Linked DNA regions of Lonchura striata. The protein of the gene in region 1 interacts with the protein of each later gene in a pairwise test. Links are inferred from orthologs where the notes say so. Each region holds a gene or a part of one and is shown in the gene's direction. Other genes may lie near its edges.

What was found.
Region 2: the proteins of L3MBTL2 (region 1) and BEND7 interact in binary tests that used the Homo sapiens proteins (3 or more experiments, as listed by UniProt). The two-hybrid records come from large-scale screens. The link is inferred for Lonchura striata from reciprocal best matches to the Homo sapiens genes L3MBTL2 and BEND7.
Region 3: the proteins of L3MBTL2 (region 1) and TBC1D9B interact in binary tests that used the Homo sapiens proteins (3 or more experiments, as listed by UniProt). The two-hybrid records come from large-scale screens. The link is inferred for Lonchura striata from reciprocal best matches to the Homo sapiens genes L3MBTL2 and TBC1D9B.

What each region holds. Positions count from the first base shown.
Region 1 is NC_134607.1:25,003,727-25,011,250, forward strand, and holds the start of L3MBTL2 (lethal(3)malignant brain tumor-like protein 2), read left to right. Parts: upstream 1-4,479; 5' UTR 4,480-4,535; coding exon 4,536-4,556; intron 4,557-5,965; coding exon 5,966-6,233; intron 6,234-6,436; coding exon 6,437-6,570; intron 6,571-7,245; coding exon 7,246-7,369; intron 7,370-7,524. UniProt on the Homo sapiens protein: Putative Polycomb group (PcG) protein. PcG proteins maintain the transcriptionally repressive state of genes, probably via a modification of chromatin, rendering it heritably changed in its expressibility.
Region 2 is NC_134607.1:66,508,343-66,516,427, forward strand, and holds the start of BEND7 (BEN domain-containing protein 7), read left to right. Parts: upstream 1-5,010; 5' UTR 5,011-5,254; coding exon 5,255-5,315; intron 5,316-8,085.
Region 3 is NC_134617.1:6,674,253-6,681,437, forward strand, and holds the start of TBC1D9B (TBC1 domain family member 9B), read left to right. Parts: upstream 1-4,130; 5' UTR 4,131-4,183; coding exon 4,184-4,301; intron 4,302-6,471; coding exon 6,472-6,582; intron 6,583-6,837; coding exon 6,838-6,956; intron 6,957-7,185. UniProt on the Homo sapiens protein: May act as a GTPase-activating protein for Rab family protein(s).

The sequences.
Region 1 (7,524 bases):
GTAGTGGGAGGATTTCAGGGAGAGAACAAAATTAGGGTGTCATCTGTATCTCTTGCCATTCAGTTGTGTCCAAGTTAGGTTGTTTCACTCCTATTTATTAGACTCTTGGACTACCAAAAAGAATTCACACCCAAAGTTCTAGCAATCTAGTCAGATGTTGATTGTCCAGTTACAACGATGCTAATGGTTGTACTCAAATAATGTGTAGTTCAGTGATGTAAACTTTCTAATGTTTGACCTTCCAATATCCCAGCTCCCTCAGCCTCTCTCCATCTGACGGAGGCTCTAATCTCATCACTGTGCTGCCCATTTGCTGGATTCACTATACCCATGTCTCTCTTGTACTGGGTAGCCCAAACTATTTGGCACAAAACCGAAGATGATTTTGGTAGCAGTCACCTGGTCATTAGACAACTGTTGTAACAGCAAAACGAGCTATGGCAGCTCCTGGCAGGCCAAGACAAGCCCAGGCAAAGCCTGACAAAGTCTCACATAAAGCAGAGCTGGTGGCCTCTTACCAGTAGTGGCAGCACCATGACAAGGCTGAGGTGGATGATGTGACAGTGACAGCCATTCCAGCTTTTGTTTCATTTTTCCAGTATATGATACACAATTTCCCTGCAAGAAACTCCACCTCCTGTTTCCAAGATGGTCTTTTTGCTGCTTCCAGTTTCAGCCAAACTCAATGACTCCAGCCTATCCTCTCTGGACAATCTGGAACAGATCCTGTAGTGAAAGACAGCACCAATCAGAAGAGTCTGCTCCTAATGACCAATTCTGCCTAAGTATGTGATGAGGCTTACTACCCTAAAAATGAGCTTTTATTTGAAGACAGCCAGAGGGTGCTCTGTCTGGGGAATATTTATTTTTACTGCCTTCCTACAATACTGGGGTATCTGCCAGTTTGCCCAAGGAGCCATTTTTTCCCTCAGCTTGTCAAAGCAGATTTTGTGCCATAGATCCCAGCCTGAGACACAGCATAACCTGGCCCCTGAAAGTGTAAAAGCACAACACGTTCCATCCTCAGGTGTTGCAGCAGCATCTGTGTTTGCATCATGGCTGGAGAGCTACTCAGCTGCTGTCAGCCTTGCAGGTGAAGTTGGCACAGCTCAGACTGTGGTTTTTTCCCCAGGTGTGCTGGCTGGTGGCAGGCTCTAGTGTATCTTGGGAGCACAGAGTTATATGGGAGGCAACCACAAACACATGTTTTTTCTTCTCCTCATGTCCCTGCAGTCCCCAGGGCAATAGCAGGAACTGAAAGGTCATTACCAGAAGAAAGCTCTTTGCCAATCCTGATCCTCTGGCTGAAAGTGCAGAGCTTCTGCTGCCCTGAAAAGCAAAAAGTCTTTCATTTTATTTTCCTCTTCACTTCTGCTTTTCATTGTCTGTACTGTCCCACACCAGTGTGGCACTGAAATGAGCTCCCAGTACAATGTCGCCCCATGTCTTCCTTAAAAAGCTTGTAGAGGGATCAAGAGGCAGCACAGCTCAGCTCTCAAAAGCCAGATTTCTTGGGGGTCTGGGATGGGATAAGCGCTTCAAACCAAGATAGATCTCCTAGGCAGTTAACTCTTCCCTCTCCTTGTCAGGATAGCCTTGGAACTGGCTGTAGTTGCTTTCTGGGATTTTGTTTTGGTTTTTTGTTTCCTTATTTTTTTGTTTGAGTTTTTTTAATTTGGACAAAAATTATTTACTGTTTCATTAGTATTTGTATGTAGAGTTGTGTTGACATATATTGACAGATTTAATGTGATAGTAAAATAGCAAGGAAGGACAGGCTAGTTTAGTATTTGTGCCCTTAACTGGGTTGCCTGTTGGGTCTGGGGTTGGATTATTTGGTCACTATACAAATTACTATGTCAATCCTATAGTGTAACCTTGTGACAAGTGGCTGCAAATGCAGAAGAACATTACTGTAGCATTTTGATCTGACGAGGGTTTTCTGCAAGCTCCTCGGCCCACAAGAGAGATCTAGAAAACAGCAACTGCTCAAATCTCCCACCCGCAAGTAGGCTGTTGTCATACATAGTGCAGGACATGCCTCTCCATTTCAGTTACCATGGTAAAATTAGTCTGCCAAAGGTTAAGCAGAATACGTTTCCTTATATTATTCCTTCTGTTTGCTTTTTGGTTTTCCCAGCTCACTACCCTATTTTCCTTTTTCAAAGACAGTACTATGAATGTATGGCCAAAGCTTACGTGTCTATGAATACTTTTTCTTCAAAATGGTTCCCTTCCCAGTGCTCATGACAAAAATTAAACCCTTCAAAGTATTTTGGTTTTTCACAGTGTCAGCTAGGAGGAGCCTACACACAAGAATTTGGAAGGCCTGTAGTGGAATGGCTGGCACTTAGTGTTGGAAGTGAAAAAAAGCCCCTGGAGCACAGGATTCTCATGAGCTCTTTGCAATAACAGAGGAGAAAACTGAAAAAGGAGGCTCTGGAGAAGTAGCAGATGAATTTATGAAGACTGGGGGTCTGAAACATGAGCTCTGCATCCCAGAGCATGGGTGAGAGGACAGTCGCAGTAGACAAGCACAAAGAGCCAGTGAGACAAGGCTCCTGAAAGAAGTTGTGGTAATGAGGGGCAGAGTATATGCTGAAGTACAAAAGCTGCACACCTTGGATCTGAGCGCCTGAGGAAGCAGCCTGGCTCCCTGTCCATTGCAGCCAGGGCTCCTTCTGTCATTGCACCTGACAGCAGCCCTTTGATACTGATCTTTCTAAAATTTTTATTGCAGATTATGTTAAAACACAGACCAAGCCCGGAACAGCAGTAGGGAAGGAGATGGGAAAAGTGAAGTGTAATCTAAGAGTTGGGTTTTAGTTACCTGATATTGCCAGTGCTGTTCTCTCTCTAAAGAAAGGAGTTAGTTTTGATTGTTGTTACATAACAGAGTTTTTATTATTGAAAAGAATATAAGTATTCCTCAATCAAATTGAACTTGATTCACATTAAAATGAATTTATTTAAATACTGTTATTTATTCAAAAGGATTGTTTAGAACTGCAATGAAAAATGAAGAGCTGTGGTGTGGGGTTTCCCTTTTAAAGCTTGTTCTGTGTGAACACAGGACTCATTTCTACTGAAGCCTTCAAGAAGCCTTGAGCCAGCCTGAGTGTGACCTAAGGGTGTGACCTGCTTGTTCCACTCTGGGAAGGGCGCAGGTGGTGCACACCAGTTATAGCTCACAACGTGTTCCATGAAAGATTATTGCAGTAGAAAGACTTAATGAGCCTTTAATTTTGTACTGTGTCTTTTCTGGAAACAGCTTTGCTGTCTGCAATGCCATGCAATGTCTAGCAGTATTTACAAGTGAATAACCGTCATTATGATTTATTTCATTATTAACTATACTATTTTACAGCAATTTTCTATTTTTAACATTGGTGGAGGACTGCTTGGAAAACCTGAATGTGGAGGATCCCTGGTGCTAAGGAAATTTGCTGATTGATTTGCAGAGTGGCTTTGCCAGCTCCCTGACATTTCCCTCTGTAAATTAGGCTGTGACCACTATCCCAGATTCTCAGCGTGTTTCATATGGATAGTGACATCTCTTTGTGTTTATATCTACAGGCTGTAGCCCCATGTTAGAGCTTTTGGATTGTCTGGAAGAGCCTTTGGAATGAACCTTTTCCATGCTGCTTTACTCCCACCTGCAGCTAAGACTGTGCAGTTGTGCTTCATACATTATTTGTTCAGCCACTCACTACAAAGTCCATACACACTAGGAATGCTCAATACAGCCCTTTTTTTTTTTTTTTTTTTTTTTTTTTTTTTTTTTTTTTCCTCCTACAACGTCAACACAGTGACAATGATAACAAAATAAGAGGGTGGAAAATGGAAACTGCCTCCAGGGGCTTACCTTTACATAAGTTTCTTGACAGGCTGATAGAGCTGGGGTTGTTCAGCCTGGAGAAGAAAAGGCTCTGGAGAGACCTCGCTGCAGCCTTAAAGTACCTAGAGGGGGGTAATAAAAAAGAGGAAGATGGACTTTTTATATGAGCAGATAATGACAGAACAAGGACTAGTGGCTTTAAACTGAAGGAGGGCAGATTGAGATTAGATACAGGAAGAAATTCTTTACTGTGAGGGTGGTGAGACACTGGCACAGGCTGCACAGAGAAACTATGGATGTCCCATCCCTGGGAGTGCTCAAGGCCAGGTTGGATTGGGCTCTGGGTAACCTGTTCTAGTGAAAAATGACCCTGCCCTCCGCAGGGGGGTCGAATTGGATGATCTCTAGGGTACGGTCCTATCCAAGCCATTCTGGGACTGAGTGGGCTAATACCGAACCACAAGCAAGAACGGAGCCGGGGAGACGGCAGCAGAGCCCAGCCCGTTCCTGGGTGGGACCGCCGCGAGGCGCCATAGCTGCGGGAAAAGAACTACAGCTCCCGTCATGACCCGCGGGCAGAGCGGCGGGAACAAACTCCCCGCTGATTTGCTGTGCTTTCCGCTGTTCTCGCCAATCGGACGCGCAGCTCAGGGGGGACGCTCTCCAGGCGCGTGAGGCGGGCTGGCGTGGCGGGGCCATGGAGCGGGACCGGAGGGAGGTGAGCGGGACGCGGCGGGGGCTCCTCTGGGGCCCCGGCTGGGTTGCTCCTGGGGACGGCGGCGGGTCCTTCTGATCCCGACGCGATGGGCCCCCGCGTCCCCCTCAGCTTGCCGAGGAGGCTCCGGGTGATGCTGCCTTTGCTTGGCAGCCCTGGGGACTTGTAACAATATCCGCAAGTTTCACTCGCCTGTTGTGGAAGAGTAACGATGCAATGGTGCTCACGTCCTACGAGCTGGTGTAAAATGCACCCACACAGGGACTAGAAGGCGATGAAAATATTTGTTTTTTTAGAGTTCAGGCCTTTCAAGACATCAGGAATGCTATCTGAGGGCCTGGATCCGTAGGACAGGAACTCTTTGTTCAGGGAATAACCTGGGAACCTTGGATCTGTGTTGTGTGAAAGCCAGGGAGGATGCGGGGAGACAGCAGTGAGTGAAGTCTGATTTTCCTGACCACGTGTCTATAATGACAGCTAGAGCCAGGGGTCAGAGGGAATTTAGCACTGGAAGGTGATAGGCTTTCTGCTGATCTTTTGTTGTTGCCCACTTGGAGGAACAATGGTATCCTCCTGCCTCATGTAGCTGTTTGAATCTGCCTTTCTGATCCATCACTTCCTGTGCTGATGCTGTTTTTGCTGCTCTTTCATGAGTTGCTAACATATTTTCCTAGTTTCTTTTATGCTTATTTGGAGCCTGGTTCAAGATTCTTCTAGTCTGAGACACACTGTTTTTCTGTGCTCTTTCTTCAGTCTTTGCCTTGCAGCTCTCCTGCTGTAACAGCAACTGCGAAGAGCCAGTGAAGATGTTTAGCTGTGGAGGCATCTGGGTTTAGACAAAAACCTATACAAACGTTCTGCTATCCTGCTGGTGTAGTTTCTGAACCGAGGTCAGCTGTGGACTCTGTAGTTTTCAGAGGACATAAACTGTCTCCAGGACTGAGTTGGTCCTGCTGACTTCCAGGCTGTGCTGGTCTTGTGAGCTGTGGTGGCAGGAACGTGCAGCCTGTGCTCCATTGTGGAAGTCTGTGCTGGCTTTATTGTGATGGTCTCTGTGCTGCTATGCTGTGCAACTATGTTGGGAGGAACATTGCCGGGAAGGACGCAGTCTCATCTGTCTTCATCAGCAAGGCAGTGCTTTGCCCTGTATTTTCTATGTTCCTCAAGATTCTTTTTATCTAGCAACAGCACTTTTCTCTTGGGAAGCAGAATGCAGCATGTTGAATACCAGTAAAGGGATCTGTTTGGGGGAAGGCAGTTCAGAGTCCCGCCTTTGGGGTTGTTATGTGGATTCCTTGCCTGCCTTGAGGCCACTCCCTGGCCCAAGAGGGCCTCCTCCAGCAGCAAAGGCAGGTTTATTGTGCAGTGGGGTGTAAAATGTTGATTTTAAAGTAAATTGGCTCTTTTTCTAGATGGTGTCTGCCTTTGGCCACAAAACTTCATCTTTGGAGCGGGTGGAGGAGGAAGGTGATGCTGATGAGGAGGATGATGAATTGGACATCTTTGGGGGTTATGACAGCCTCACGTGCTACAACAGCAGCATGGGCAGTGACAGCAGCTCCTGTCTGGAGGAATCTAGCGATGATGAGGTGGCAGACCGGGAAGCTGGAGAGCTTTCAACATCTCCGATGCACCAGCCATCCACAGGCCGGCTCACAGAAGACAATGGCTCCGAGCCAGGTACTGCCTGTGCTGCCTGAAGTATGTTCAGGGGCAGTGAAAGGTGTGTGGGGATGCTTTGGGAGCAACTTTGGATTCAGACTGCATTTATTGGGCTATGTGGGGGATCTGCACTGTATAATCATGGTTAGCTGGTCTCAGCTCTGTCACCGTGGTGCATTGACTCTGCAAAATCCTCACGTTTTTGGCCTTCCTTCTTGCAGCTGTGTGCGAAATGTGTGGGATTGTGGGCACCAGGGAGGCTTTCTTCTCCAAGACTAAACGTTTCTGCAGCGTCTCCTGCTCCAGAAGCTACTCCTCAAATTCCAAAAAGGCCAGCATCCTGGCCAGACTGCAGGTACGTTAAAACTGTTCCAGCTGGCTCTCTGGCTCCATCATGGTTGTAGGCTTATGTCATGCTGGGGAACTTCAACCACTCCTATACCTACAGAAAGTAGCATGGCAGGCTGTAGGTAATCCAGGAGACTCCTGAAACGTATGTGGGATAATTTCTTAAGCCAAGGAATAGACAGCTGTAGCAGAGAGAATGCAACAGTAGACCTGCTGGTCAAGACTAGAGGCAGTGGCTCTAGTTGCAGTGGTCATGCATTGGTGGAATTTCTAATCTTGAGGAATATAGGTCAGCTAAGGAGTAAAGTCATGCTCTTGAACTTTAGGAAGGCATACTTCCAGCTCTTCAGAGAGAATCTATAATTCTGTGAGATTTCCTGGGGATGGAGCAGGATCTGCCTTTATGTAGGGTTGCTCTTTAATTGAATATCAGACTGACAGTCCCAGTGGCTTATTCTTCCTTCCTGAAGTCTCCAGAGAAGGCATGACAGCTTAAAGGTGGTGTTCCCTAAGAGCTGAGAAAGGACACACATGTATTTTACCTGCTGTTTCTTGTTCCTGTGAGTGTTAATAAATACTGTAGTAGACTGAAAATTGTCCCAAGGAAGAGATGTATGCCCAGTTCCAGAGAGTGGCTTAGTCTCCTGTGCCATTAATGTTTCTAATCATTCTTCTTTTATAGGGGAAGCCACCAACGAAGAAAGCTAAAGTTCTGCACAAGGCATCCTGGTCAGCTAAGATCGGGGCCTTCCTCCATTCACAGGGCACAGGACAGCTGGCAGATGGGACACTGACAGGTCAGGATGGTGAGTGTAAATGAGGTGTGAGGAGGTGCAGCTTCTGAAGTCAAAGAATGGGGAGACTTTGAGGGATATAAACTTTGAAGTCCTCCTTCTCCTCTCTGGTACACTTCTTTGTGCGATGTGTGTGGATTGCTCTGACACAAGCTGGCAGAACACAG
Region 2 (8,085 bases), about 42 Mb from region 1:
ACAATATCCCCACATCAGGCTCAGTCAGGACTTAGAGGAGCATGGCTGCTGCCAGGGCTTCACCCCGCAGCCTCAAGGAGCTGTCTGATGGTGTTAAATGCTTTTGTTCCTGCAGCTGATGCTGCATTAGTTTTCCATCTGTAGCTCCAGCGATTGCATCACTGCACTCTTACATCTGCCTTCAGCTGCTGTGGCTGAAGCAAACTGACACAAAAATGGAGGAATGATTAGCAGCATAAACCTCTTGGAACTCTCCCTAGCAGGGGACTCACTGGGCTGCTGGACCCTGAACTGAGCTTGCTGCAATTTGTGCCTGCAGCATCCATCAGAACTGGGACTGCTGACTGCTGTGCTTGGGCTGGCATCGTTGACATTGACTCTGGGATGACCCAAAGCTCAAACATGCCCTTTCTGAGGACACCAGCCTGGTTTATATTTCTCTTAGGCAGAGGTGGTAGTAATGCAAAGACACATCCAGACTAAAATTTCTAAGCATTAGTACTCTTTATAGCAGAAAAGTTCAAATTTCTAGGCAAAATAACAAGCCCTACATCGTCCTCAGCTCCCTTGAAGCACTTGGGTTGTAAGGCCAAAGTTAGTTCAGCCCATGGTTTCTCCATGTTGCAGAGAAGCAGAAGATATCCATGAATATGGACAGATTTCTTTTATTCTTCCGTATCCTCTTTCATAAAAAAGAGCATTGTTGAGACCTTTTCTTCATCATCCTTCAACTACAGCTGTTACTTAGACACTTTGGTCTCCTCTCCATTCCCCGAATTCAAATCCAAACACTAGTTTGTCTTAGGGATGACTTAATATCCATTATGCCACAAGTATTGGATCAGAGTGGATGACCATCAAGCACTGACTCTTAGAATGCAGTGGCCTTCCTCTTGCAATCTTACTCCAAGCTGTACATAAATTCACAGAGCAGGGGAAAACCTTATAGTCAACCTTATAGTCAAAAGGGGGTTTGCATTCTGATATGGAAATGATTAGAAGGTTTGCATTCTGATATGGAAATATTCAGAAGGTTTATGACTGCACACACAAAGAACTCTTTGTACATAGATTCAGTTATATTCCTTATTGTTGAAACAGTTCTGGAATGTTTTGGTCTCCTTGAGCTAGCAAACAGATGAAAACATTGGTCTGTCCTGTAATTTTTTTCTTTAAAATTTATATGAGAAAGATTAACAAGCAGCAGGATGGACAAGAAGGCATTTCACAACTGTGTTCCAAAAGAAAAAGAGAGTAAGGACAGAGACATGAAATGTCAAGTACTGTGACTCAAATGGTCACGAAAAAATTAAGGAGGATTAGAAAAGAAGTTAAACTGCACTCCTGACTTCAGAATTCTTCAGGACATCCAGACATCTTTCTCTCTAATGACCCAGTCCTTGGATATGCCAGCCTGAGAGCCTGCTGAAAGGGAAGGTTTGTAGTGAGACAGCAGAGCACAATGTGGCCTATTGTCAGCTTGGGGGCTAAGTACTGCCTACGTATGTCATATGACCTCAAAACCACCACTGGAAACACTACTACAGTTTATAAAATCCTCAGTGCCATTCATTACACATAACTAACCAAAATAGCTCACCTATTAACCTGTCACCTGCACAGCTCCTGGTCTCCAATTTACCTCTTCACCCTTCTCCTGCTTCTAATACCACACGGAATCTCGTCAGGCTCCAAGATGAGTGGTAATCATGGTGCTATTAATATGACAGTCAGCAGCCTCTTCCCACTTCACATGGCCTCACATGAATTCCTTGACATTAGACTTTAAGCCTCAGATCGAATCACTGAGTTTATGAGACTTTCTCCACTATAATTTTTCCAACTGAAAATCTGAAGTGGTTCAGCTTAGTGCACTTATTTAATTCTCCTCAGCTCTAGGACTCTTTAGTCATCTTTGTCCTATACCATCCTACTTCTGAATAATAAAATATTATCATGAACTGGGCACACCTGGAAACAAAAAGTCTGGGACATCCTGTGTGAAGAGGACTGCTGCTGTTAACACCGAAATATTACTAGATTAATTATATTTAATCAGTTAGCTCGTGTCTGAAATGAAAAAGTATTTCTACACACCAGAAAATTGTTGGAAAAATTACCATCAGTTAGAATGGGGAGGGGATATTTTGAAAGTAACTTGAAGCATAATAAAATGTTAACTAAGAAATAATCAGGGATGATCATACTGACTTGGGACATGTTGCAAGACAAAGCCCTTATTTAGCTGGCCAATTTAAGGCATTTTGAAAAACACATTACTCGGTTAATGGTTTGAGGAAACACTTTGAAAACTTTGTATCTATTCATTAATAGATACAAAATGCTCAGTTTTTTCATATTTTCACCAAAAAGACCTATGGGTTCTTAATATGTAATAATAGCATGATATTGAGACAGAAACTGAAATAAAAGATGAAATTAAAAGCTGTCTGCTCCCCAGAGCCAGTGTGCACTTTATCCTAAGTCACTTGGCTGCCACAGCAATGCAGCCAGTGACTATCTAGGGTGACACAAGGCAGCCATTCTAATGGGATAAAGAGGACTTTCATCTCTACATTTCTCCAGCTGGAATAATGCAATGGTGGCCTGTGACAAACGAGCAGATGATCCCAGTCCAATTTTAGGATGCCCACCCCAAAATGCCCAGTGACAGACTCACAGCTCCCTGTACATGGGAGCCTTTGAGTTTGTGTCATTTTTTCTAAGTCCCTGCTGAGAAGCACCAGCAGTGTAGGACAAAGCTACTTCCAGCTACCGGATCCTCCTACGTGTTGTATGGATAACTACAAGACTTTGACCTAAAGTCACCTTGTCCTAGTTTCTAATTCACTTTTATGCAGATGAGATGGCAAGACTGGAGCTGCAGTATCCACACTGGCTCATACTTTCAGAAATGAAAGCTGCAAGATTTATTCATCTGAGCGACCACAATTAGGCCAGCTTGCAGGATCAGCTTTATTCTGCATGAAAAGGATAGATCTAACTCACATAAAGGAAAATGAGAAATATCAGTGGAAAAGAGGATGTGCCAACTCTTGGAAAACATTACTAGAAACTGCATTGCCCAGACTGAAATGTCATTTAAAACCATGAGTGTCCCTTTAAGCAAATTATCAGCACAGGGAAGGAAGAACTAAAACCAGTAAGAGAGCAGCTTATAAAACACTGCCATCACATTTTCATAAATTATACCCCAAAATGTTTCACAAAATTGAGTAACAGAGTAAAACAGAAAAGATGTTTGTAGCACATTCCTTTGGCAAATGCAGGATAAAGCTCATCATGTGAGCTAAACTGTAAATGAGGGCCTTATGCTTTATAAAAATTCTTCTATTGTCCCAGGAAGGATGAGAGTCAAACGTCAAACGTAACAGTTTCAGCATATAAGTCCTGTAAATAAAGTTAGTTAGCAGACAGGAATCAGCAGACCGTCTGGGGAGGGGAGAAAAAAAAAGTGAAAATACTGTTTTTGTATGAAAATTTTAAGCACACTGCTGCTGCATTTCAGACCCAGCTTCATTGCACTGTACCAGAGATTAATTGGACCCACAAAATCCAGCAAACAGTATATGACATCCATCTACCTTTGCTGCTTCAGCATCCTCCCAAAAATATGTAATGCAGGATTTTAAATAGTACGCTAGCCCAGTTTCCTTTCATAAAGTCTTACAGAGAAGTTTAGGAAAATTCCAAAAGTAGCATATTGATTGCCTCTGGGATTTTCCACTTAGCAATTTAATAGAAAATTACACCCCTACCCAATCTGTGAGGTTTCCATAACCTCCCTAGTGAATTTAATTTTCCAGCATATAATAAATTTTACCATTAGGCATATTTTCTGATATTGCTTCACCATTAAGGCTATTTCCCAATTTTTCTTTTCAGAACTAGGTATATCCTCTGTGTAGTGTCTGGATGGCACCTTGCACCGAAGAATTCAGGTCTGACTGTGTGCATGCACACAGTTAGGATACAAATCACTACTGCTAGTATTCAATTTTCTTCCCTCCTGCTCATTTTATGTCATTATACCTAGTGATAGGGTCGGTCAATATTACTGGAGCTAACGGGATTCTCCTGGGTGCTCTGAAGAGACCAAGGCAAGATCTGCATTTTGCATCTGTTCAAGTAGGCGTATGCAAGTATCACATAGTCTTCTTGTCACAACACAGTCTGACTACATGTAAAACACAATATGATGATCGGAGCTGTGTTTGCAGTTATCAGTAGTCATAACTGTAAACGCCTGAGTTCTTTCTCTACAGGCAACAGGCAAAAGCACTCTCGGCTGTAAAAAAAAAAAAAAAAAAAAAAAAAAAAAATCACTCCACCCTCAGTGAATTTCGCACAGTGAGCGAACTGGAAGTGTGGCTGAAGGCATCAAGTGGTAAATAAATCAAAGCACTAATTTCAGCTGTGTTTGGGCCAGCCGTATGGCTGCAGTGACCTCACGGTGACCGTCGGGAGGGCTGCCAGACGCCCTAAATCTCGCTGCTCTGGAGAGCCGAGCCTCTCTTCCTCCTGCTGAGGGATCCAGGTTTGGCAGAGCTCATCCCAGCCGGCGGCTCGCCGCTCTTCTCCAGGCCTCGGTCCACGACACCAGCGGACACATCGCTGCGATGATCCCTGTAAAACACGGCAACAAACAGGTGTTGCCATCAGTTCCTCAGGTTAACCCACTTCCGCACGCCAGCTCCAGTCCCGGTCCCGCCGAGCGCGAGGAGCTGCCCCGGCTCGGCCCCGAGCGGAGCCGCGGGCAGCGCCGGGCGGGCAGCGCCGGAGCCGCGCGCGGGCGGCGGGCGGGGGACACAAAATGGCGCTGCCCCTCAGCCCCTCGCCCTCAACCCGCGGCGGGGCCGAGTGGCGGCGGGCCGGCCCCGGGGTGGCGGTGGCGGCTCCCGGCCGGCGGAACCGCCGCCTTCCTTCCCCCAGCAGGTGGCACCGGGGTCCCGGCGCCGGCGGCGAAGCCATTGCGGGCCGCCCTTCGCCGCCGGGCCGCGGCCGCGCAGCCGGCGGGGGGGAAGGCGGCGGCATCGCCCCCGCGGGGCTCCCCCCGCCGCACCCCGCTTTTCCTCAAAGTTCGGGGCGGGAGCGAGGGGGAGACCGGAGCCAACTTGTCCCGGATCCCTTTATTCGCCGCCGGAGCCGCCGTCTCTCCCAACCCCCGCGTGTATTGCTGATCGGAGGGACGGAGCTCGGTCCTGTGTCCGCCCCGCTCCTTCCTGCCCACACCATGGAGTTCGCCCAGAGGAAGAGGAGCAGGAAATCCCAAAGCTTTAAACTGGTCAACGAAGGTAAGGCGCGGGCGGCCGGGCTTTGTTCGCTGGCCGGGGGCAGCCCCGACTTTTGCCCCGGGGGGAGCGGGGCGTTATGAAACGCCGGCGCCCCCGGGCCGCCGCTCCCTCCCGGCTCTGTTATTGAACTCCGCAATCCTCTGCCTCAACTCCCCGAAACCATTGCACGCCTATTTATTTTTTTTTTTTTAATTTTATTTCTTTCACCCCCGTTTCCTCTTTTTTTTTTTTTAATTATTTTTGCATATGTGTTACGTGTTGTTGCAAAACCACCACCACCTCAGGTGGACGTGTTATTTTTTTTCAAGCAGAGAACCTTGCACAAAATAAAGTTGGATCGCGTTTCGTGGTGAATCCTGCTTGGGCGGGGGGGAGAAAAGGTAAAAACGGGAAGAGAGCAAAAAATAATGACACTTGAGCAGCGACAGACCTTCTTGGTATTCAACTCTTGTGGGTTTATTGTATTTGGGGTGGTTTTTTTCCTCTCCTCGGCTGTGTACATCCGTGTATTTCAAGAAAAGCTGAATCGAGATCGCTTTATTAAAAATCCACGCAGGTAATTAATTGTACGTGGGCAGGGGAGAGCCGCTGCCGTGTAACTTGTTCGCTCGGGGTGTGTTTGCTTTTGGAAAAGAGGATCTTTTAAAAGGGATCGTGAAGGGAGAAATATTTTAATTCATGTCGGACAAGAAGCACAGCTCTGTGTTCAGTCTTCTTGTTTTTTTCTTTAATTAAAGGGGGGAAAAGATACAGCCGCTGGTAGGCATTTTCACAGGTGGACTTCCCAGCCCTAGGGATTTATTTTGCTTGGGGATTTATCCCTTCTCCGGCCGATGAGATGTTTTTGTCCTGATGGATTTGATTCGAGATCGTTTTTCCTTTTGTGTTCCCAAGTATTGGACGGGAATATCTCCATGAAACGCTGTGTGTGTCCTGCATGCCAAGTTCAAGGCAGGTGACTGCTTGGGTTTAATGTCACACTGGTGAAAAGGGGGACACACACACACGAGTGTCAAGACTTGCTGTCTGAGGAGTGCTCTGTAAAATTACGTTTGAAGTGAAGAAATTCAAATATGGAAATAAACTCACTTGGTGGGAATAGTAAATAATGACTGCTGTATTGTGGTAGGGGGGTCTGGGACATCACACATGGTCCCTGTTAAAGCTAGAGGGGCAGGGACTTGCCAGACGTGTCTGAAATGCATTGGAGGTCTGTATCCATTAAGCAAACTTATCAAGGGTGTAATTTTACAGAGAACAGGTTTGGTTTGTGGGGTTTTGGTACTGAACACGCTCCCAACTTGGAGGCAGAGTTAGTGCATGACTGCGCTGGAGCATGGAGGTGGTGAAACAAAACTGAAATTTTGCTTTTTTTTCTTTCTATCCTAATGGGCCTATAAAAAGAGTATTTGCCAGAAATAGGTGACTGTTTTGCCAATCTCAGTTGCCATTTCGTTCAGGTTTAGATATGCCTCGGTGTATGAGGCAGTCTATTTAACCTTATTTTAATAGGTAAATCCAGTTATGATGGTACATTATTAATAATATTTTATGTGTGGTCTCTTTTTGGATGTAGAAAGTAAAATAAAAAGCTACACTAAAAACATATGCTAGAGAGAAAATAGTGTCTTTTTACTTTGAGAATGGAGGAGATAAAAATCAGGTTTTGTATATGAGTTTGCACTCTCATACTGTTTTCTATCACAGTTGACTAGAAAGATAATTATGTATAAATAATTGTCTCTTGTAATTGGCCTTTGCCTCTTGCAGGAGTTATTCTGTAATGTCACAGTTTAGTGTTTACTGTTGTGAAATTGATACAGTTTCCCAGTGCCTGGACTGTGACATCCAAGACACAGAAAAGAAAGCAAACAGAAAAGGCTATGCTGTATGAGTTGGTTAGTAAGACACTCTGCTATTGATGTGTGCCGATACATACCATGCTTATTCTGTCCCAAAAATAACTTTGAGCACCTTATCACAATGATCAATAATGATCAAATCAAAAGAAAATCAATTCCTGTGCTAAAATGCAGTCACCTCTGGGGTGAAATGTGGTGACTTTAAGGCAGCAGCTGCAGACCAGAGGAATATTGTGACCAGCTAGATATATAGGGAAGTGCTGGAGAAGAAACTGTGTAATCTGTATATCTAAAGACCATGAGTCTGTAAGTCTTTAAGTCCTAGTTTCCACATACTTGCTTCCACAGATCTGGAATGTCCTTGAGAGGATGAAGGTGCAGAGTTGCAGAGTGTGGCAGGTAGACCCTGACTGGCTGGCCATCAGGTGCCCACCAAGCCACTTCATCACACCCTCTGCTCAACAGGACAGCTAGTGATCATGGAAGGGAGCATAAATCCTGCCAGTTTAGTCTCATAAAAGAAGCTTTTACTTCCTCGATGTCATATCTCAAACTTCACCTTTACCCATTTCATTGGCTGGGCGTGCTCGGGAAGCAGAGGAATCCTTTGTGTAGCACCTCATCGCTGACCTCTCCAGTTCTGTGGTGTAGTTGTTTTCCCCTCATTTTCTTTCCAGGCCCTTCTCATTCTATAGAATTGCTGGGTTAGGCTTGATTTTAGTTTACATACTGGGTTGTTCCTTCTCTTGTGCCTTTTCTGACAGTCGTGCTGTACAAATAAACAGCACGTAACAAAAAAGTGACTTCCAGGAGACTTTTCCAGTGCTGTGCCTGTTTGGTCAGAGGTGCAGGTGTGCTGCTTGTGGAAGGAGCTGTTTATGCTGCCCTCCACTTGTGTTCCACCTTTT
Region 3 (7,185 bases), on another chromosome or scaffold:
TGAAGTTAAGGCAGCTCTGCAGCCTGATTACTGGTGAGTTGACTTAATTATTAAAAAATACTTGTTAATTTGCTTAGCTAATAGCCATTTGTTTTTTACAGCACAGGAAATAGCACAGCAGCTCAGAAGCCAAGGCACAGTGGGGCAAAGGCAAGAGCCACAGGGCTGCTGCCAGCCCTGCAGGGTGGGGAGAGAAGGACAGCAGAGCTCAGGGCAGGGACCTCAGGAAACACCTTCAAATTCCCAAGTAAAGCTTTTGCTCTTTTTCACCCTGTGTTACCCAGCTACACTTGACCTAATTTTCCAGCCTGAGCGGTGCAGAAAAGTGTGTGATGTGCCATGAAAGCTTGCATATGTGTTGTTATATTTAAAGATATCTTCACTTTTTCATTTCCCTGCTAGACTTGCTGCGCTGCAGGGCAGCCTCAGCTCTGGCACACTTGGTGGAAACTGGTGAGCAGAGGAAGGAATGAGAGAGGGAAAGATGTTCCAACTAAACAGACTGAGGGGAAATCAGGGGAGAGATAGACAGTACTTCAGTATGCTGGTGTTCATTTCTACTTTTTTTCCCTTGTCTTTGAAATAATTAAGAGAAAAAGCTGTGCTCCCTACCCGTTCCTTGTGGGATGCAGTGACAAGAGCAGGACTCCAGGTGGATTTTGCTCCTGAGACAGAGCCATGATGCTCTGTAACCCCTAACCAGTGATGTCCTGAGATGTTGACCAAAAACCCCAAATTCACAAGAGTGTGTCAAATTTACCTGGTGCTTGCAAAGTGCTTTTGGGGGGATGAAATCTGCTCACAGAACCTTTGCAAAGCACCACTAATTGACCCCTTGTTATTTGTCAGTTGATTGATCCTCTCATTAACCTAGTCTTTTTAAAAGCCTTCAGCATTCCCAGACACTCTTGATTCTAATCTCAACCTTTCCACTCCATCAGTTACTACTGGCTTCTTCCTCCTCTGGAGAGCTGGGTGAAGGTCCCTGTTGTGCAGGCACTGCTGTCCACCTGTTCTCCAGCATCTTCTTCATCACTGTGCCATCACCTCACTGTGCCATCAGCCCCTCCAAGGGGATGCATCACTCTAAACCAGTCATGGTCCGTCAGAGTGCAGAGGTTCCTGGTGGGCTGTGCTCAGCCAAAGCAGGGATCTGGGGATCTGGGCTGTTGTGGGATGCTCATTCTCTGGATCCCTGAATGGAGCATCCTTTTGCTCTTCTGCCCATTAGCCTCATGGAGATGCTCACGTGAACAGAAATGGATGTGTACGTTGTGCAATAACATCTGAATATTTTGTCTTTCTTACTGCAATAATGTCCAGGGTCTCTGGGCCTGGGGGCCCTGTGGTACAAACTGTTACCCAAAAATAGTCCCTTTCCTAAGGAGTTAATAATTAAGTATTAATATTCTACAAATAAGAACTACATAGTGTTTAATTGAAAGCTGAAGCTGCTTAGAATTATTTCAATGCAATGCTAAGGTGTAACATTAGCTAGTGTCATACAGCTGGGACTGGGGGGTTGCAGCCCAGAAATCAGATGGACATGTATGCGAAGGCTCCCTCACTCCTGCTGGGCTATTCCTTTCTCCACTTGTATCCAGAAGCCCCGCAGGAGCCAGAGGTTTTTATTCTTTTCCCTGAGCTCAGCTGTGTGCATTTATGTGCCATTTGCCTCTTTTTTTTTTTTTTTTTTTTTATCTGCTTCTCACATACTCCGGGGCTTGACTTTGCTTGACTCCGACTTGTTCTTCAGCTGCCCAAACCCCTCGAGGGGGACAAGAGCCATTAATTCCCAGCAGAGCAGTTCTGCTAGGCTGTGTTAAGGCATAGATCATCAGATTTGCTGTGGCTCCCCCGTGCCTGTGTCTGTAACTCCCTCACACTGTCTTGGGCAGTAGGAGCTGTAGCTGCCTGCAGCCTCCCCACAGACTGGGCTGCTCTGGGAGGGAGGATCATACAGAAAACAGCTCAGCAACCCTCCCATGCTCCAGCACAGGAAAGCCTGGGCGTGAAAGTAAACTTGTTCTTTGCTGCTGTTAAATCAGGAATGTTGAATAGAGTGTTTGGGGCTGTCAAAGCAAAGCTCCTGGTGCGGGTTCATGAGGTCCCAGCCTGTTGCTTTCTGCTTGTGCTGGAAGGTGCTACATGAACGAGAGGCCTTCCCTGTGCCACCACATCAGCAGGCAGACTGTCCCCACCCTGTATGTCTAAGCTTAACTGCCAGCACTGGTAAGGTCTGTTGTACTACTCCTATAATGGGGAATAACCATTTGGAGAAAAAGGAGTGATTGCATCGCTCTTGTGCTTGTCCCATCAGCCCTGCTGCAGTTTGCAAGTAGATGTTAAATACTAAAAGCTTCTCTGGATGACCGTGCCTGTCCAGGACCACCTGCTCAAGGCCATGGCTAACTATGCACTGACTCCACCAAAACAGCTTCATTTTATCTCAGCAGAGAGGGGACCCCCGGCCTTTGGGCACAGGAGACTGCAGCAAACAACAAAAAAAACCCCAATTTGCGTGCGTCTAAAATGAAAAGTGTGCTTGAACTGGCCTGCTGCCAGGTGGGTCACACCGGTGTGACCAGGTAACCTGAACACGCCAGCAGCTGCCAGGGGTCTGGGGACACTGCGGGGACACAGGGATACACAGTGCCCTCCCGACAGCCAGAGCTTTCCAGCCCCTGTGGAAGCGTGGTTTGCCAGCAGCAGAACTTGTTGACATGTTTTGATGTAAGTATAACACTGTATTGTAGTTACGTGGTATATGCCAGTATGTTCATAGTGTATACCGACTAGTTAGGGTTTGCTAATGTACTACATTTCAATAAAAAGCAGTTTAAAAATACGGAGTTTGTGAGTTTGGTGTCTGAAAATATAGGAGAATAAAAGCATCATCCAGTGACTCCAGTCTCTCCAGCATTTCTTATAGATCTGTCTTAGAGGATAGTGTGGAACAACATCATCAATAGATCCATTTTCAGAGAGGATTTTTCCCACTCTGATGTAAATTTTTCTTTTGGCTTATGAATATGCCGGAGACACTAATCCACCTTCTCACAGCTTTTGACACCTTAAAGATGGCACAGAGTGAGCAAGAACATCAGTAGTTAGGCAGGGAAGGATCCTTCAGCATCTTCTCCCAGTGCTCAAAACCCTTCCCACCGGACACCCAGCCTTCAGAAACGGTCCTGCTGCTCCCCAGAAACAGCCATGCCATTGAGGTGAAGGCACAGCCCTGCAGGCTGAGCCAGCTAATATATATTTATATTAGAGTAGTGTACAAGGGCTCCAGCTGGAATTAGGGCACTGCACTAACAAAGATGGATCATCCAGGGTTAAAGGATTTAAAGCCTAAAAAAACCATGGCATTCCTGCCTTCCTGGGAGCTGGGCAGTAAGCACAGAGATGGTAGATGTCAGTGTTTTCTGCTGTTGTAACACTTCCAAAGTTTGCCTGGAGGCTCTCTAAGGGTTATTGAAATAAGAATAGTGGTTCACTAAATTATTGGCATAATAATTTAGTTATTATCAAGGGATGAGAGGGAATTGCATCTCCCACTGTCCTGTGTGCTGCAAAGATCATCCTTGAACTGGACCACAAGCTTTGAGTGGGCTCCAGCGCTGCAAAGCAAGGACTGAAATGAACCAGCTGACAGGAGGGGGATGCCAGGACCCCCACACTGAATTCATGAGGCTGGGATGCTGGGAAAGCATGTTCTTCACAGCAAAAGGGGCAAAATAATTCCCATATTCCCAGAGGGGAGATGGAAGCATCGCCAGACTGACCAGGAGTGCTGGACATGTCTCTGATGTTCTAGTGCTCGACCACCCCCTGCGGTGGATGTTTTTCTAATATCCAACCTAAACACCCTCCTCCCCCTTCCCGACACAACCTCAGGCCGTTCAAGTCAGGTCTTTTCAATGCCACAGTGTGCGGCCGGGAGGCGGAGGAGCTCTGCAGAGCGCGGCGGTGACCCCGGCCGCCCACCGCCGTCCGGACGCGGGGCTCGAACCCGCGACCCCGCGCTGCGTTGGCAGTGAGGGGGCCGCGCCGCCAGGGGGCGCGGCGGCGGCGGGCGCGGCGCGGGCCCCGTGACCCGGCCCGGCCGCTCCCCCGCGCCGCGCCCGCCCCGGCCGGGCCGGCCCCGCTCCGCTCCGCTCCGCTCCGCAGCCCCGCCGCCATGTGGCTGGGCCCCGAGGAGGTGCTGCTGGCCGGCGCGCTGTGGGTCACCGAGCGCGCCAACCCCTTCTTCCTGCTCCAGCGCCGGCGGGGACACGGCAAAGGGGGCGGCCTGACGGGTGAGGCGCGGCGGGGCCGCGGGGAGGCTCCGGCCCGGCGCGGGGCTGGGAGGGCCGGGCGGGGGAGAGGCGCGGCCCGCCGGCTCCTCGCTGTGTGCACCCCGGAGCCCCCGGCCGGGCTGTCGGCGTCAGGCCCGGGGAGGACACAGCTGGTGGGGTGGCTGGAACCGTCCTCTTCTCTTGTCAAAAATGGCTTCTCAGCCCTGCTCGCGTTGCTTTGAATTATTAAGGTGGTTTATTTGCATATTTTGTACGTCTGTGTGCCTCTGCAAGATGCAGAGGATGACAGTAAGCCGTGGTTTATAATTAGTAGCGGTATGGAAGTTGTGCTGTGCATGGGCCGGGGGTGAAGCTGTGTGGGTGCAGCCCAGTGGAAAATACCGCTGAGTGTGGGGGACAGCCGTGTTTGTGGCATAAACTGCTAAAATAACATGACTTTCACCCAAGCACAGTGTTAACTACAGCAAATCCCCTCACTTTTAAAAACCCCATTTATGTGCAGAATGCTTTCAATTATGTGAACTACAAAGATGTGAATTTTACTCTTGTCGATTACACGTAGCAACTGTCACGTATTAACCCTTTTACACAAACTAATTACAGGAGTGGTGCAGCTGATAAACATCATTAGCATATTTCATCTTTTCACAGTGTACAAAATTAATTTGAACTGTTCTGATTGATGTCACCCAATTTGTGCAGTTTTGCATATAGGCCTATACTTGTGTTCTACAATTTCCTAGTTTTTTCCAAAAAGAAACGACGCCTGGTGCTATTCTAGTAACATTTAAACTGGTGTGTTCCCGATGGGTTGAAGCTTTGAGTTGTGTTTACTTTTTGAGGTAGTGTGGCTCAGTGAGAGTCATCTTCAGAGCTTCTTCAGGTTAAAAGCCTCATGTCCTTAAGGAGCTGTGCAGCTGCACAGTGACATCTCAAGAGTTAGAGTGGGATGTTCAGCTCAGCTGGAAAGCTTTTGAGTTGCTGTCAGGCTCAAGTTATTAAATATCTCGTTACCAGTCTGCTTGTCAATATTTGACACATTCAGTATTGTCATAGGATGGATTCAGAATTAACTTTTAATCCATATCCTGCCTAAAACTCACAAGAAACCCAGAGGCCAAACAGATCCTGCTGTGCTGGTTATGTACATGTTTCGCTTACATTTGTCACATGGGCTTGCTGTGGGTGATGTTTCACTGCAAGGACAATCAGTGGTATATTCTTAATTTGTTAATTGCTACATAGGTAGGCAGGAGAGATAAGGGAGAGGAAGTGGCATGTTTCTTCTTGATAAGGAGTGAGATATGGATGAGTACCCAAACCATGAGAGCTGGGAATTGAAACTGGACCCCCTACAATGTCAGAGCCCAAGGGGCAGCCATGCTCCCTCTCCAAGTTCTAATACAAGAAAACTTTTAATCATGAGTGCGTTGCAAAGTTAATTTGCATTAAAGATGCTCATAATGCATTGTCTATAATAACAAAGCAAATCATCATCTTCTATATCTGTTTTATCTAATTGAAATAAAGACTTTGAAGTAAATTTATTTGCCTTGCAAAGTCTGGTTCATCAACATTTACTCTGGAAGTGTCTCTTATTTGACATCATATAAAAATATTTTGACTTCTGTATTACCAAGTTTTGAGTCGCTGACATATTTTTTTTAATCAAAGTACTTCTGGGAACATCCTTGAAACCTGTGAGCACCCGTTTTTCTAGATCTACCTGATTCCATTTGGACAAGTTACCTACTTTTGGCATTGGTGATTCTGAAAAATACAGCGTTGATGACTCTTGTGTCTTTTAGCATGGTAGGCTTAAAAATCACTATTAGAAGCAAAAACCCCACAGAGGAAAACACATTTCACTTTCATTAGGAAATACTTCTATGAAGGCGTGGGATTGTAATGAAGCTTAGTAGGCAATTAATTTCCATCTAAACTTCGTCCATTGCCAGTGGGACAGGCTGCAGTTGGTTTTTAGGGAATTTACCTCCAGTGACTGGATGTGTATCTCTTTTTTCTGAACCAAATGCCACAGCTCTTCATCACAACTGTTCACAGGCTGTGAACATCAGCGTTTTCTGCAGTGTTCATCCTGTGTTTTTGCTTAACCCAGTTCTTTGTTTTGGTATTACACTGCTGTAATTTCTGACTCTTCGTTTCCTAGGTCTCCTTGTGGGAACTCTAGACGTGGTTTTGGATTCCAGTGCCAGAGTTGCCCCATACCGGATTTTGCACCAGACTCAGGACTCTCAAGTGTACTGGGCAGTGGCCTGTGGTATGTGACTCTTGTTGGGGATTGGATGTGAGTTATTCTCTTGTCTTTTTGGTTCAGATGACCAGTTAGCCCACATAAGAGTATCCTTTGGCTGCTCAGGACACTTCTTAAGAGCTTCCTATGGTGTAGTGGAAGATTGCAGAAATGACAAAACTCAGTGGAGTTTAAACCGTAATTAAGAAACTTAAAGGAATAAAAAACCTTGTTCTAATATTTTCTCTTTGCTCTTGTCATCATCTTTCTCCCTTCAATTAGGATCATCTCGTAAAGAGATCACAAAGCACTGGGAATGGCTGGAGAATAACTTACTGCAGACTCTGTCCATCTTTGACAATGAAGAAGATATCACCACCTTTGTCAAGGGCAAGATTCATGTAAGTGACATGTTTCCCTGAAGGACTTCCAGATTCTGAGAAAGAACAGGGAGATAGATGGTTGTAAGAATTTTTTATCCTTTTCAGTCATATGTAGGTATGAAAGTATTGTAGAATGCATCCAGCATTGTCAACATCAAGTCACAGTCAGAGCAAATACTGAACAAATGTATTTGAAGGAGAAGGGTTAAGAGCAGTGGATCCCAAGGAACAGCCTGCTGAGGATGTT